Linked DNA regions of Neurospora crassa OR74A. The protein of the gene in region 1 interacts with the protein of each later gene in a biochemical or structural test. Links are inferred from orthologs where the notes say so. Each region holds a gene or a part of one and is shown in the gene's direction. Other genes may lie near its edges.

Region 1 (5,115 bases):
ACCATTGGCGTTTGAGCTGGACCGGATTAGGGGCATGGAGGTCTCTCTTCAGTAATAACACCGGGTTGTTGTCGCCCTCCTCAGCATTACCGATGTTCAGGAGTCGCCCTGTGTCGGTGTAGAAAATCTTGGAAACTTGATGTATGGGAATGGAGTCTCGGATTCCAGCCATATCGATGCCGTCGAATGGCTCACCTGCGGCATCATCATCGTGTACACGTCCGTCGTCGAGATCTTCAATGATCTCCAAGTGATAGGCATACTCGTCTGGGCGGCCAAGCATCGAAAGGGCCGAATCAACGGCAGCAGAGTACGCGTTTACGGGTCCATCAGAAGACTCACCGGGGCAGTATCCGCGAGTCTTGTCAAACTTCCAGCCTAGCGGTGTGCGAACCAGCCGTACACGAGCCTTGTGCACCACCTCTTGCCAGATGGGTTTCCGTTCACCTTCGCCAACACCATATGATGGCTCCCTGGTCCATGTCTTGCCTCCAGTGCTAGGAGTGGCAGGAACGGAACTGGCACTTTTCAGCCTGGAATGGCCGCGGAAGAGCATGTAAAGAGATAGTGTGAAAGAAGGCCCGATGGGGACTGCTCGGTTAGGGTTGTTCACAAAGTGTGAGTCCCCGAATGACAAGAAGGCACTCGCCTGCATCAGTCTCGACGGAGAGATGCCAGCGTTCACTGTCGTGTTCATCCTCTCTCCCGAGGCCGTGATGGCGAGTTGGATCAGAGGGATCTCTCTGTCTATGCGGGCCAGTAGTTCCTTCATCTCCTTGATAATGGTTAGCAGCTCAATATGATGAGCTTCCGACATGCGGGCTTTCTTGCCATCGGAGCGGGAGCTCTCTTCGGCAGTAGCAGCATCGTTTAGGCGCTTCCCGAGAGAAATGATGTCTCGATGGAGAGACTTGGCAAGAGGCACAGCAGCCTCGAGGAAGACATTGCCACGGCCAGATCTTGGACACAGCGTTAGTCACATTCTTGTAAGGGCCAAGGACAAGGTAAGTAGTAAGAAGAGAGGTAGGTTGGGCATACTTGAACTCGATCAGGTCGATAGCTGGTGAAACAATCTGAAGTGGGGAATATTCGTATTAGCAAGGGGTGTCATGTCTTTGTTGGAAGGGGCTTTAGCATTGTTGGGTTCGGAATAATAATGGCCACTCACCTTGATCTTACTATCCAGAAGCTTCTGCAGCTTCTTGAGCTCGGTGTACACTCCTTTGTCGTCGACCGTCTTGAGCAGCCTCGAGCACTGGTTGACGGCGTAGGTGGAAGTGATTGCGATGCCTGATCTGATGGCGTAGTTGACCGCATGAGACCCGAGCTTGGCCAACAGTGCGTCCATGATTTGCTCAAGTTAAGAATGTGTGGATGGTTATTTGATTGGTACGGTGTATATCATATTCAGTTCCTGTCCTATTTGATAGTTTTATGTACGGAATCAGGTAGGTAGAGGTACCTTACTGTAATGCTCTCCGGCAGCAAGTGAACTTGAACGAAGCGATGCCTAATTGTTAGTGTTCGTCCCGTCCGTTTGACGTTCAGGTCCTCAAGAGTGACGTTGGTTGGCGGGTCCAGGCTTCTTTTCGTCCGGGTCTCTTTTGGGTTCACGGCCCGGCCTGGGACAGTGCATGTGCCAAGAGAGACCAGGGGTTTAGTCTGTTGCAGAGGTTCGCACTGTGATCCTGCTGATCCCATTCCACTGAATGCTGGCTTTGGGCGCACTTCTTCGGCGAGTGACTCCCCGAGTCGCACAGTGTGTGGCGGCAGTTCCGTCCTAGCGCACACAGTAGACAGCGGGACAAAAAATTGTCATGTACCCCGCCACCACTCACTGCACGCCCTCCCCAATCAACGGTGGGGCCCTACAGCCCTTGCCAGCGTTAGGTTTCTTGATCCAAATCTCTCTTCGACTTGTTCCCTCGCTCGCTACGTAGTTGGACGCGCCGACTGGACTGGTCACTCAGAGTACTACAACCAAGTACAGGTCGTCGTCAGGGTAAGTACCTACGGTGTATAGAGGCAGTTGATATAGGGCTGTCTGTGGTCGCATTAGCTTACCATCATTTCTGTCTTCTAGTATAAATCATCCATCTCCATCTCCTGACTTCAGGATTCCCTCCTCGCGCAAGGGACCTACCTTATTTATACACACCCACGTCGCTACCCAGCCGACAGAGTCGGGATTCATCTTTGCTGACCATCAGCTTTATTATCACCACTCTCCAGCCCACGAGCGAGACCCCGAAACCAGACACATTTCTACCGGCACCTTCTCGAGAATCACACGCGACCGCTATCTATCCAACATGTCCGGAAACGTTCAGAACAACTGGGAGGAGGCTGCCGACCAGGATGAGCGCCTGGCGCGCCAGACCCAGCAACAGATGAACATCAACGCTGGTACCTTCCGCCCCGGTGCCGCTGCCTTCACCCCCGGCGCCCCCTCCTTCACCCCCGGCCAGTTCGCCGCTCCCGGCTTCACTCCCCAGTACCAGCAGCAATATTACGGCGGCGCCCAGCAGGGCTACGGCGGTGGCTACCCCCAGTACGGCCAGCAGGGCTACGGACAGTACAACAACCAGCAGCAGCAGGGCTATGGCGCTGTTTACGGCCAGCAGGGATATAACCAGGGCTACGGTAGGCCGCCGCTTGTTCGTACAGTCTTTGATCGAGGAATCTAACTGATAGACGTGGATAGCAGGCCAACAACAACAACAACAACAACAACAACAATACGGTGGTTACCAGCAGAACCAGGGCTACCAGCAGAGGCAACAGCAGAACCGCGATGCGCCCAAGCCTGCCCCTCAGATCGTCAAGAGGCCAGAGCAGCCCGCTGCCCAGGCGCAACCAAAGGCCGACGCCCCCAAGACCGCTGCCGCTCCCGTCAAGGTTCTCAGCGTTGGAGGCGATGCTCCTGCCAAGGTTTTGAGCATCGGGGGTGATGCGCCCAAGCCCGCGGCCAAGGTTCTCTCCATCTCCGGCACTGCTCCCGCCAAGGAGGAGCCCAAGAAGGAGGCTGCCAAGAAGGAGGGTACCGCTGAGGCCGCCGCCAAGGTTACTGCTACCAAGGCTGTGCAAAAGACCGAGTCTGCTGCTGCTAGCGGCAGGACTTCGCCCGCTCCCTCTTCGGGCCGTGCCAGCCCGTCGGCCGCCAAGTCCGGCAACAAGGTTTCGCGCGACGTCGATGCTGTTGAGAAGGATATTCAGTCCGCCGATGTTGACGAGGATACCCTCAAGGAAATCTACGGCAAGGAGCACATGAACATCATCTTCATCGGTCACGTCGATGCCGGCAAGTCTACCCTCGGTGGTGCCATTCTCTACGTCACCGGCATGGTCGACCAGCGTACACTTGACAAGTACAAGAGGGAGGCTAAGGATATGGGTCGTGAGACTTGGTACCTCTCGTGGGCTCTTGACTTGACCAACGAGGAGCGTGCCAAGGGCAAGACCGTCGAGGTTGGTCGTGGTTTCTTCGAGACCGACAAGCGCAAGTACTCCATTCTCGATGCCCCCGGCCACAAGACCTATGTCCCCAACATGATTGGTGGTGCTTCCCAGGCCGATGTCGGTATCCTCGTCATCTCCGCCCGTAAGGGTGAGTACGAGACCGGTTTCGAGAAGGGCGGTCAGACCCGTGAGCACGCCATGTTGGCCAAGACCCAGGGTGTCAACAAGCTCGTCGTTGTCATCAACAAGATGGACGACCCTACCGTCAACTGGTCCGAGGAGCGCTACAAGGAGTGCACCACCAAGCTTGCCCAGTTCTTGAAGGGTACTGGTTACAACCTGAAGACGGATGTCTTCTTCATGCCCGTCGCTGCCCAGCAGACCATGGGTATCAAGGACCGCGTGCCCAAGGATCTTTGCCCCTGGTATGATGGCCCCTCGCTGCTTGAGTACCTCGACAACATGAGCTCTCTCGAGCGCAAGGTCAACGCCCCCTTTATGATGGCTGTTTCTGGCAAGTACCGTGATATGGGTACCATGATCGAGGGTAAGATCGAGGCCGGTGTGATCAAGAAGGGTATGAGCTTGATCATGATGCCTAACAAGCAGTCGATTGAAATCTCGGCCGTCTACGGCGAGACGGAAGATGAGGTTCCCGTTGCCCAGTGCGGTGAGCAAGTCCGTCTCCGTCTCCGTGGCATCGAAGAAGAAGAAATCATGCCCGGTTTCGTCCTTTGCTCGCCCAAGCGTCTTGTCCACAACGTCACCGCTTTCGAGGCTCAGATCCGTATTCTTGACCTCAAGAGCATTCTGACTGCCGGTTTCAACTGCGTGCTTCATGTTCACGCCGCCATCGAGGAGGTTACTTTCGCCGCTCTCCTCCACAAGCTTCAGAAGGGCACCAACAGGAAGTCCAAGCTTCCTCCTTCGCACGCCAAGAAGGGCGACAGCATCATTGCTCGTCTCGAGGTTACCGGTGGTGCCGGCTCCGTCTGCGTTGAACGGTTCGAGGACTACCCCCAGATGGGTCGTTTCACCCTCCGTGACCAGGTATGTTATTTCTTGTCTGTTGCTTGACGTGAAATTGGACTAACACATTTTGTAGGGTCAAACCATCGCTATTGGCAAGATCACCAAGCTCATTACCGATACCTCTGCTTAAATGGCCAAAAGAAGGTTGGTGTTCTCGGCGAATTTGAGCAAAAAAACTGCACCGCTCGAGTCAAAAATGTAAAAGGGATCAAGTAGGCTTTGCATTGGTTATTTGCTTGAGCGCGGGGAAAGCCTTAGCAAGGGTTCTGTTTACGTTTTTCGAAACGAAGCATTGGGGATATAGAGCAAAATACCAGTTGGAATGAGAAAGCTTTGTTGCGTTTGGGAAGTCCGGATGGCTTGGTCTACGTGTCCAAGTTCTTTTCGCTTGACTTGACGGTGACTTTTGTTTGCCCAAACCTCTACACTACTTTGGACCCGGAGGATATACGGATATACCCGTACCGGGGACCCAGCTCATTGACGATCATTCAATCGGGACTGATGTCCCAAGAAAGCCAAGCTGTAACTGACGCTAGTCGACCATCCCAACTGAAAAACTCCCCGAGGAACATGCGGGGAGAGCGGGACCGATGACGAGCTATTCCCGTCGGAAGGAGATGC
Region 2 (4,217 bases), on another chromosome or scaffold:
CTGTGACTCAAACATCCCAAACCCATGAATTTCCACGCGCTAACCGCGAGACAGCGCTGCGGCTTGAATCGATCTGTTCTCGCTCCCTTTCACCTGAGCAAACAGGTGAGTGTCGCTTCATTCCCAGTCCCTCTCCCGGGCATCAGATTTGCTAACAGAAACTCCGAAACAGGCTTAGCGGCCGCCTTCGTTGTCCGAGTGGTCCGTGTTACCGGCCACCACCCGGTTCGGTCCTGCGCAGCTATCTCCGCGGAGCTTCTCATGTCCCGTCCGGCTGGCGCGCCGTTCGAGTCTGGTGGCCTTTTTTCATTTATTTACGAGAGTTTGTAGTGTGAAATATGTGGCGTGGATTTCGGTTCCGATCCTTTTAGTCCTGTCGTTCGTAAGCCCACAGGATGAAACACGCTGTTCATTAGCACCCATCTTGATGAAGTTGGGAACTGATAAAGACCATGTATCTGGCATAGCCCCCCCTAGCTCCCAAACAGCACTTCTGTAAATATGCCCTTTCTGGAGCCTTAGCGCGAGTGTGATACCTGGAGAACTCCTCAGTAATGGTACGTAGGGAAGGTTGAGATAGGGTAAGTTGTGAAGCGCTGAGGGAGAAGGGAAGAGCGCGCGCAGGCGAGCATGGGGTAATTGTCGACGTCAACGCCGAGACATGCTACGGGCAAGAGAAACGACATGGACTACTTGCTGAGGATAAAATTGGGGTTCGGATAGCGGAAAGTGACGAGAGGGCCAGGGCCATGAAGGCGTCAAATCTGAGCTGTTGATGTTGTGGAATCACATGTGGCGGATGCTGCATGGGAATGGTCGTCACACAAATCGAATAATGTATGGATAGTCCAGTTCTACCAGCCGTCACGGCCAAGAACGGCCCTACCATGTCATCTGTTCAGGTCTAGCCTCGTTTGGCCGGTCTGGGTTCTGGATGATGAACTTGGTGAGAGCGGAGTGGGGTCGAGCTGCGTTGGGTGGAAGCGGAGAAGAAAGAGGGAAGTTGAGGACAAGTTTGTGAGAGGGAAGAAAACAGAGTGCCCGCCGAGGAACAACTACATACATTGGTTGTATCCTTGTTAGTGTCCTGGGGTAACTCTGTAGGAAACGTTAACATTGGTCGCTGTAGGGGGTGGAACTTGAGAAGCTATCAGTTTAGTAGGGCATTTACTAGCAAAAGTGCTAACAACGGGTTCCGACAAGATCGGATTGCGAGCCAACAAGTTAATGTCCGTAAACAGAGGAGTTGATGTTTCACCACCTACAGGCTTCTGGTCACTTAACTCTTATGATAGCTGAAAACACAAACTTCCTTTTCTGTATTCTCAGATATAAAGATAGTTTTAGGCACGAGAGCATTGCTGGCATTTCAAGATGCCTAGCTCGTCCTGGACAAAATCATTGGGACCTGTAATATTATACCTTGGGTACCTACTACGCATCCAAGCGTCTTTGTAACACCTCTAGTCTTGAGTTCTAGGCAATCCCTTAACAAAAATATCCAAATGGGACTTGAGCCAATTTCTTTTCGAACTGGTATAATCCCTTTTATAGTTTGGCAACGGCCTTCTTTTTATTTTTGACGAGCGGTAGTAGACTGATTTACCTACCTACCTAACCTGCTGGTTGGTCTCATTTATTTTGTCTTGGATGAGCCCAGCAGGACTGTAACACAGGATTACCCCGCTAAAAAGCAGTGGTGCTCAATTAGGTCGGGTACCCCACACTCAGCCCACAGCACTTCCCTGCCCAAGCCAAGCAGCTTTTTCCACTTCGTCATCTTTCAGTTCCAAATCGACTGACCTTGACCAATTCCACCACCACCAGCACCACCACCACGACTGCGAATCGCAACATTGCGAGAAACTACAATACCAAAACGACGAGCACCGATAGAAGTACTCGAGTTAACTACGGGAGGATACCTACACACCCTTTATTAGCGGTCTCCGATCCAACGCGCAATCTACCTCGTCGTCGACCTACCTCTCGACCTACCCATACCCTACTCAACACTATACACATCGCCGATTGACTACTTTTCCCCGCCCAGGATGCGCTTCACTAACCCCAAACACTCCCTCTCGACGCTCGACCCCTCTGGCGAATCGCCCGTCTCCCTCCTCCCCACGACGCCCGAAGACATGTGGCACGCACACAACCTGATCGCGCCCTCGGACCTCTTGCGCGCGCACGCCATCCGCAAAGTCGTCACCACGGGCTCGACGGGCTCTACGACGTCGGACCGCGTACACACCGACCTCACTATCCGCGTACAATCCGTCTTCTTCGACCCAGCCGCCTCGTCTCTCCACGTGTCCGGCACCGTCTGCCAAGAGAACCAATACGTCAGCTTAGGCCAGCACCACACTTTGGACCTGGAACTCAACCGGCCCTTTCAGCTATGGAAGCACAGCGGGTGGGACTCGGTTTCCCTCAAAATGCTGGAGGAGGCGGTGGCGGAGGACACGGGCGAGGCCATGTGCGCGGTGGTGATGCAGGAAGGGCTGGCGAATATCTGTCTGATTACCGAGTTCCAGACGGTCGTCAAGCAGCGGGTGGAAGCCAACATCCCCAAGAAGCGGGCGGGCGGGTCGGCGAGCCAGGGCGGCATGACGAGCTTTTACGAAAAGACGCTGGCGACGCTGCTTCGCACTGTGGATTTCTCGCAGCCGCGGCCGTTGTTGTTGGCGAGTCCCGGGTTTGTGGCGCAGGATTTTAGGGGGTATATGCAGAGCGAAGGACAGAAGAGGACAGACAAAAAGTTGCAGAGGATGGCGAAGGATGCGGTGGTTGTGCACAGCAGTACGGGGTATGTGCATAGCTTGAATGAGGTGCTGAAGAGCCCGGAGGTGCAGGCGACAATGAGGGATAAGCGGTTCACGGGCGAGACGGCGTTGATGGACCAGTTGTACGATCGACTGAGGAAGGATGATGGGAGGGCGTGGTATGGTGCGAAGCCGGTGGAGCGGGCGGTGAAAGAGGGTGCGGTGGGGAGAGGAGGGGGTGTGTTGTTGATCAATAACAAGTTTTTCAGGAGTCTGGACATCAAGACGAGGAAGAGGTTTGTGGCGTTGGTGGACAAGGTCAAGGAGGATGGAGGCGAGGCAAGAGTGTTGAGCAGTGATCACGAGAGTGGGCAGCGGCTGGATGCGCTGGGCGGTATTGCTGCGATCCTCACGTATCCAATTTATGACTTGGATGAGGATGAGGTGGAGGAGGGTGGTGAAGGGGAAGAGTCAGGGGCGGCGGCGGAGGAGGGAGCCATGATTATATGATGGATGTTATCCTTGTTTACAGCGGAAAATTCAAGCCCAGTCTTTTGAAAACTCACTTCAAACCTATCTTCTGATTGTTATGCTGTATATCTCTGACATGGTGATGCACAGCTTTGGTGTTTTGCTGCGACTCTCCGCTTCTCGGCCTGGACCTCCGATTATTACCAAAACGACCGACGTCATTTCCAAACAGGACGGGAATTGGCATGTGCTCTGGAAACAAGGTGGGGCAAATAAGCGATCCGATTCCACGAGGTTTGATTGGAGCGCATTGCTCAATCCAAAGCTTCATGGGTGGGTAGATGTATCCGCGATTGAAGGTTTGTGTAATCTCGCGTTGATGTTTATGTCGACCAAGCTCTATTATATATGTTTCATGATGGTGGATAGTAGTCCAGATCGGTGTGTGGATGTGAAGACTTAGTTGTTAGTAACAAATTGGGCCAGTTCCAGACATGAACTTTGGTCCAACCTTTGTTGTCCATCTCTAAAAGGAAGCAAGCATGATCTCGGAAAAGGCACAAAGTCCATCCTCCATCTACCCGGCACATCCCTCAATCAGGTGACGCCCATCTACCCGGAAGATCCGACTTTGTGCTTCATGGTACCTTTCGTGCCTCGCTGCCGTTGTACAACTTTCGCATCTTTCCACTTCCCTTTCTACTTCCCATTCCCCTCCCTTTTACCTTAGTCCAGGCACAGTAGCAATAACTTACTATAGTACATTAGTTTGTATTTGTGTCTGTATTCTCTAGTCACGATTGTCGTACGGATTGTTATATGGGTTTATGATACACCTTCAACAGTGTCCATGTCGAATAATCAATTCATCGCGAATCGCAAGAAATCGGATCTCCAAATCCAACCAGTGGAGCCAAGTCGGGGCCACGGCATGTCGACAAATCCGACTGTCCGACAGTCTTGGCACGACATCATCTT

The links.
Region 2: the proteins of NCU04790 (region 1) and NCU09161 form a complex in vitro, tested with the Schizosaccharomyces pombe proteins (2 studies listed by BioGRID). The link is inferred for Neurospora crassa OR74A from reciprocal best matches to the Schizosaccharomyces pombe genes sup35 and dom34.

What each region holds. Positions count from the first base shown.
Region 1 is NC_026506.1:821,955-827,069, forward strand, and holds NCU04790 (eukaryotic peptide chain release factor GTP-binding subunit), read left to right. Parts: upstream 1-1,889; 5' UTR 1,890-2,002; intron 2,003-2,083; 5' UTR 2,084-2,312; coding exon 2,313-2,643; intron 2,644-2,704; coding exon 2,705-4,509; intron 4,510-4,564; coding exon 4,565-4,621; 3' UTR 4,622-5,111; downstream 5,112-5,115. Other genes in the region: NCU04789 (RanGTP-binding protein), read right to left, coding at 1-959, 1,039-1,073, 1,169-1,348. UniProt on the Schizosaccharomyces pombe protein: GTPase component of the eRF1-eRF3-GTP ternary complex, a ternary complex that mediates translation termination in response to the termination codons.
Region 2 is NC_026503.1:207,703-211,919, forward strand, and holds NCU09161 (translation factor pelota), read left to right. Parts: upstream 1-1,744; 5' UTR 1,745-2,054; coding exon 2,055-3,278; 3' UTR 3,279-3,341; downstream 3,342-4,217. UniProt on the Schizosaccharomyces pombe protein: Component of the Dom34-Hbs1 complex, a complex that recognizes stalled ribosomes and triggers the No-Go Decay (NGD) pathway.